Linked DNA regions of Tribolium castaneum. The protein of the gene in region 1 interacts with the protein of each later gene in a pairwise test. Links are inferred from orthologs where the notes say so. Each region holds a gene or a part of one and is shown on either strand. Other genes may lie near its edges.

Region 1 (3,723 bases):
GCGGTCAAGTTAATCCTGAATATTATGGCCCCACTGACTTTTTAGTGGGAAATTTAATTTTCTGCTGTAATTTTAATTTCGTACTTTTCTTTAACTGTATTGGCACCATTTCTGAAAAATAGAAGGTGAGTTTGTTAAAAATCTTTTTTACTATATTTCAAAAACTTATAGTCGTACGGAAATCATCGTTTGCTATTAAATCCAAGTTTATTTTTTCTCTATGCAGTCCTTATAATAAATAATATAAATTAATTTAAAATATAAATATTAATAAGATTGAAAATATCAAAATATTAATTAAGTAATCGAAGTTTTATGATTTCTGGTGTCATTTCAAAACATATTTTATGTATTTTTTTGCACCAACTTAACATTATTTAATTACAAGGAATTGTAGAAAAAATCACATGCTCAAGTATTTAGTTTTTGTATGAGACGAAGCGCCAATTTTTTTTTTTGATAGTTTTTTCTTGAATCAATTCGAGCAATTTTCGAAGCCCATGAGTCTTTTGGGTACGGTTTTTTAAGGCATAAAAATGAAAAGGAAGGTAATCCCATTAATAAAACAACAAACATTTCGCTGACTTTTTATTGTTTCGTTTCAATACTAAAATTGAAATGGGTTTCAGCCTAGGTCATCCACCCACCTGCTCCCTATGATACAAATAATTTGTTCAATCGCATATAACTAACCTAAACCAATTTAACAATAACCAATCAATAGGAGATCTATTTATTGTTTAAAACATCAATAACATCAACAGATTGAATATTTGTAAATGATCATATAAAAATAAAATCACACAAACTTGTACACTATGTACAACTTATATATACATACTAATATTCAGGGTATTGGTAGGGACGTTCATCTAATAGTACTATTTGATAATATAATTAAATATGAAATGCGAAGAATACGTTGTAACCTGCCGAATTGACTTAATTAATGGTAATGGAATCGACGTCTAATGATAATAATTTCATGATTCTTGAGCACTTGAGCTAGATGGACCGTCATCGTCGTTTTCATACTGAAGAGACTGTGCTTGACTTGAACTGTTTTGCCTATTCCTCCCTACAACCAACATTACATTTTTTTTTCAAAAACTTTAATACCAACCTGACGGCTTAAACGGCCCCTTAATCCGACAAGTATTGTAAGAACCGCAATGAATACACTTGCAACCAATCACGTGAAACTTTACAGTTCCTTCCTAAATGAGTCAAAGTTACAACAAGCCATACAATTTTACCATATCACCTTATGACAATCCTTGCATAAAATTTGCACTAAATAACAGTTATACTGTGGCGGCATTGGCGTATGAGCAACTTCATTATCAAGATACTTCCACAACTGGGTCATATCCATAAGGGACGTCTGACATATGGGACAAGCATAATGTCCCGCTTTGAGTAATTGGTTGAAACAAGTGCGGTGTAACAAATGGCCACACATTGGAATATGGCATGGAATTCTGGAAGTATGGATGTCCTCAAGACAGACAGGACAATTGGCGCGCGATACGTTCTCCACACACTGCAAAAACAAGTTCGGATGTCTTACACGGCTGAAATCTAGTCTACACACGCATGCGCAGCGTTTAATTTTGGAATGGTGTTTACATGAGTTTGATATTTTTCACCCTTACTTTATGCCCGTTTTTGAGCTGGATTGGCAGGCACATGTTGCATTTCTCGCAATGGAAAAATTTGTCCGAGCCCCCAATCCTGCAAATGCCACAGCCAGAGCAATGGAACTGGTTCTTGTCTTCATCGTCGAAAAGATTGCACTCCAAGCAAGTGTACTGAAACAGGCGCTTAAATTGCATCAGAATCATTTCCCACGGACTTACTTTGCCAAATCTGATGCCACAGTTCTGACACTCTGCTTGAACAGGCTGCCTTTTCTCGCATATCGTGCAGATTAACTCCGTGACTTCTTTCCTGTTCACTGAGTGATCCTCCTTTTCGTCGTGACAGAACCGACAAGTGTACACTTTCTTGCAGCACGGAGTCTTGAAAAGAAAACACGACGTGATTGAGTCAATAATTGGCGCTAATTCAATTAAACTCAATAAACAACATTGGCCGGACGGTCTGTTCTAGCAAAAACTCACCACGAATTTGGATTTTCTTTTGTAATGGGAGCAGCCAATTGGCTTAATTGCCTCTTCGGGTGGCCCCTCAGCGACCGGAGTAGCTGCCCCTTCCATCATCCGCCGGGATTTGATTAAACGCCGCCGTATGACTGTGCAATTCGAGAAAATCTGTTTCTGGCACTAATTTTAGAAATACGACAGCATACGGAATAAATTAGAGGCGATCTTGAACTAAATAAATAAACGGGTAGGCAACACGGATTGCCTCCCAAATGTCAATTTCATTCAGGGAGAAAAAAACACTAGAATTGTTACTAGCAAATCACATTCGGTTGGCCAACTTGTATGAATTTTTACAGGATTTTTTCAAATTTCTTGCAAAGTTTACACTCATTGATGATCAAATAATTCAGACGACATTTAAAGCCGAAAAACGATCAAATTTTTTCTGTGGTATTTTCGTGTATTCAAAATTTAAATCTTGGACTTCACGAGTCGCCACTGACCTGTCAAAAAATTTTTTTTCGAAAATTTTTTGGAACTAAAGATTTGAATTATTTCACAGAAATATAACAACGAACTTAAACTTCCATTAACGTAAATTTTACGATCCGTAGGTTTTTTACAGTAGTGAAAGTCGGGTTTATTGTTACATAACCTCACTTATAGAAAGCTTGTGAATAAAAAAGTAGTGCCTGTGTTTGCAAAAAATCCAATAAATACAATGGCTGAGAAAGAAGAGTTTGAACGAGCTGTGGACGTTGTAACAGAGCAGGAGCAGGAATATGCACAAAAGGCTTTGAATGAGTTTAAAAAGTATGTTTAAGGCTTCCAAAAAAAACGAAAACTATTGACCCTTTTGTAGAAATAATTACGCCGGTGCGCTCCAATTTATCAATAAACTGGACAATAGAACTAACGATTTTAAAGTGGCCCACAATAAAGCTCTTGTGGAATATTGCAAAAGCGATTTTAGGAAGAACGAAACATTTCAAAAGAATTTAACCTCAATTTGCAATCAAGTATTACAGTCGTCCTCCTGGTGGGAATCTTTTAATAAGGCTCATTAACTTTTAGTTTAAGATTCGTCTCGATAAATTAGATGATGTGGACCAATGCATTGTTCATTATAATCAGGCCATTCTGTTATATCATCAACAACAGTACACTAATGCAATTTACATAATGGATCGAGTGTACAAATTTATTGAACCAATGGGTACAATTTTTCCAACGTGACTGTTTGTTTTTAATTTACTTTGTTACAGATGACGCATTAGCCAAACAAGTTAGTCTTTTTGCCATTGAGTTACAGCTATGTGTGCGTCAGTCTGATAAAGCGCTCAGTTTAATAAATTATCTGGAAAATCAATTAATCAACGGGACGCCAAACATCAAATTGTTGGACAAAACCGTTAAAGAGAAAGACAAGAAAGCGCCACAGCCCCTAGACCCAGCAATGGAAGAGTTTAAGAAAAAACTAATTAAATACAAAATCCGTTGTTACCTAATGAACCACAATCTCGAAATCGCAAACAAAGAAATCAGCAATTTGCTAAAAGACAAACAGAATTTCCAAGCCTTGTTCCTGGCAGCTAATTTAGAATACCTCAAAGGA
Region 2 (3,320 bases), on another chromosome or scaffold:
AAATCGAGCGAAACAAGCTAAAACAATCTCTCATAATCTGGGGAATGATTTGCAGCTGGGTTTTAAGCTTAAAAAGGCTTTAAAAAAGCACAAATAATTTGGGAAATTTTGGAACTGTTTTTAAACAAAATTTTGCGCAATATTTATGTTTCTGGCTAAATAAAAACAATGCTAAAACACCAGATAAAACCAATTAATGGAGCTATCAAGTTAATTTAGAGATATTTAAAGGTTGTTGAAGCAAAATGTCACAAACCAAGTTTAAAAGCTTCAAAAATCGAAATAACAATTGCAAAACGAACTAAATCGCATCAAAAAATTAATAAAGTATCATTAATTTAGAACTAATTTTGTAATTTTTCAATTTAATTCTCTAATTTTTCACTAAATTTCATCAAAAAATACCGGACGTATAAGTTGATTCTACAATTTTAAAATTGTTTTTACCTTTCCTGTGACTTTCAGCATGTTTCTTTGACCGAAAATGGACATAATTTTCCAAAAAATCACCAAATTTGTGTATTTTCTAGTCAAAAATAGTGGACGTGCGCAAATCCTACCGGATTCGCAGTGGCCATGATTTTTATTAACAATGTTTTTCGGGACTTTACTAAACAAACTCAGTTAACTAAAAGTTTTTAGAAATTAATAATAATAATAATAATAATAATTATTATTATTATTATAATAATAATAGTAGTAATAATAACATTAATAATTTTAATAATAATAACAATAATAATAATAATAATAATAATAATAATAATACTAGGTTTGATTAATTGAAACCAAATTTACTATCCACGTAATCTATGAAATGTAATGTTGGTTGCTTCAAAAAAATTTCAGGCTCATTATTACTCGTGGACCATTCTGTAGGTACTAAAAACTTACTCAACAAAACTTTTTATCATGTTTTTTACGCATAATTTGCCTAATTATGTATGATACGCTTTCAACATGCATTTGTATATTTTAATGATAAGTTGTAGTTGTGGGTATTACGAAGTTACTTTCTTAAAAAAAAAAATAGAAAACAAATCCACATTTCCATAACCCACAAGTGCGTTGGAGTGCTATCAATGATAAACCTGTCCGATTCGTGTTTCCAATTTCGTTTTATTGCCAACAATCGTACAAATAATAATTATTTCTCCCGACTCCCCCTTCAAATCCTCTCAAACCGGCCAATTACATAATTCCCAATCTGAGAGGACCAAACGTGCGGAAATAAACTTAACAATGTCTAATTCAGTTCAACAAGTGCTTGTGTGTGCTTCTATGCGATAACTCTTATCTACTATCGTCATTAACGTGAAAGTGCCTCATCATGTCCCTCGTTTTTCCCTTCCATTGCCTCACCCTGGGGGTGTACATCCTCGCCTTCTGGTACGACCTCACCTACGTGGATATCCCCCAAATGCAGCACAAGAACGACATGAAATTCTTCAAAGGTCGGCTGAAATTTCTCACCATTTGGAACATGGTAAGTTCGCGCCAAAAAATTCAAACCGCCTCGGCCAAAATCACAGATCGCGTCCTACCCTAATCCCAACCACACTCAATCACGCACTCAATCAACAATCAAACAGCTTCAAGCACCGTTTAATCAATTTGTAAAACAGGGAGGGGTGCAAGTGCTTGTCTCGCGTCGGGTGAATTTAATTGTGTGGGTCAAATCCGCGATCGCGTCCTGTCCATAGTCGCTAACCTTTGCCCCCATAGAAAGTCTTTAAGGCTTTTCCGAGCGAGTGGCATGTCATTTGAAGCTAGGTAATGGTAAAATGGGTGTGAGAACTTTGTGTCATGGTCTCGCAGCGGTTCATTTCTGGTTCGGTTGCTATTACGACTGGAATTATGTTCAAATCCCGACAGAGGTCCACCGCATGGGGGACTCGTTCGGTAAAAGCGGAAAATTGAAGTTTTTAACCTACTGGGACGCGGTTAGTCAAGGCTGGGCCAAAAACTGGTAAAAACCTCTTTTTGCAGCTCCTCCAAGCCCTCTTCTTCACCATCTGTGTCATCAATGACCTTGTGGGGACCAACGAGGAGGCCCCCAAGAAAGCGCCACTCATCCGGAGAGTCAAAGACTTGGTTGGTAACACTGTCACTGCTTACCGCACTGTAACATGATTTTGTAGATTTTGCCCTGTTTGGCGTTTCCGTTGTCAATGTTTGTAGGCCTGACTTTCTGGGGGATTTACTTCGTCGACCGCGAGCTGATTTTCCCGCGGGCGCTGGACCAGTTCTTCCCCGCGTGGCTCAACCACGTCATGCACACCAACATAATGATTTTCATCCTAATCGAACTGTTCACATCTTATAGGAAGTACCCAGCTAGGAAAGTTGGGCTCACGATTTTGAGTCTGTTCATGTTGGTTTACTTGGTGTGGATTCACATCATTCATGCCTATTCGGGGATGTGGGTGTACCCCATTCTGGAGGTCCTGAACCTGCCGCTGAGGATCGTGTTTTTCATAGGCTTGTTGGGCTTGTCTGTGAGCCTGTATATTGTGGGTGAAAAGTTGAACGGGATTGTGTGGAGCCAGAAGAAGCACAGTTTGAAGAAGCGTTCAAATTAGGCGATAATTTAGCGTAGTTGAAGTGCATTTATATAAATTGTGATAGTCTGCACTGTTGGGTTTTTATGTGATTTTGTAAATCGTGGCTTAATTTATATCGTGAGTGGTCATACACTTTAAAAAATTCAATTGTGTTAGATTGTGCCTGAGGAAATTTGGCAATAAATTCCTTTCTAATATTTTAATAAATTCCATTAAATGTAGTAAACTAGGAAACAATAAAGCTAGTAATAGTAAACCGTAGTTTTATTCCAATGAAAATAAATAAATAAACATTGAAAAATAAACACATACAATTCGTGGTTATGCAACCAATAATACGATTATTGTTGTTAAATGATCCCAGTCAAACAAATAATAATAGAAATGAATTGCAATCAGTAATTACTGTTTGAATGTGGCGTGTAATGTGCAATTAAAAATTTTAAGTGCAAATTACTGTAAACTTGCATAAAAATGAGTGGGACAGGCAACCAACCGTACACTAATTGTTCAAGGGCGTCATGTTAATAAAAAGTTGCAAGTAATCACAATGTAAAATAATTGGTCAAAAAGCTGCATAAATTAAATGTTACCTTGGACTAGTGTTTACATAATTGTTATAAAATTCACCTACTTTTTTGGTTTACATCTTATCGTCTTGTATAGCAACTTTCTATTTGTGTGAGAATATGGATTAGATAACTTTCATAATTAAATCATGGATGAGAAAAGTAATGTTTGTTTCAATTTGCTGTG

What was found.
Region 2: the proteins of Rchy1 (region 1) and androgen-induced gene 1 protein interact in binary tests that used the Homo sapiens proteins (3 or more experiments, as listed by UniProt). The link is inferred for Tribolium castaneum from reciprocal best matches to the Homo sapiens genes RCHY1 and AIG1.

Annotation. Positions count from the first base shown.
Region 1 is NC_087396.1:15,621,089-15,624,811, forward strand, and holds Rchy1 (RING finger and CHY zinc finger domain-containing protein 1), read right to left. Parts: upstream 2,392-3,723; 5' UTR 2,223-2,391; coding exon 2,124-2,222; intron 2,022-2,123; coding exon 1,860-2,021; intron 1,812-1,859; coding exon 1,656-1,811; intron 1,544-1,655; coding exon 1,265-1,543; intron 1,218-1,264; coding exon 1,124-1,217; intron 1,079-1,123; coding exon 984-1,078; 3' UTR 576-983; downstream 1-575. Other genes in the region: Not10 (CCR4-NOT transcription complex subunit 10), read left to right, coding at 2,830-2,921, 2,971-3,127, 3,183-3,324, 3,374-3,723. UniProt on the Homo sapiens protein: E3 ubiquitin-protein ligase that mediates ubiquitination of target proteins, including p53/TP53, TP73, HDAC1 and CDKN1B. Mediates ubiquitination and degradation of p53/TP53; preferentially acts on tetrameric p53/TP53.
Region 2 is NC_087399.1:6,621,986-6,625,305, reverse strand, and holds androgen-induced gene 1 protein, read left to right. Parts: upstream 1-1,655; 5' UTR 1,656-1,784; coding exon 1,785-1,943; intron 1,944-1,989; coding exon 1,990-2,094; intron 2,095-2,141; coding exon 2,142-2,582; 3' UTR 2,583-2,820; downstream 2,821-3,320. UniProt on the Homo sapiens protein: Hydrolyzes bioactive fatty-acid esters of hydroxy-fatty acids (FAHFAs), but not other major classes of lipids. Show a preference for FAHFAs with branching distal from the carboxylate head group of the lipids.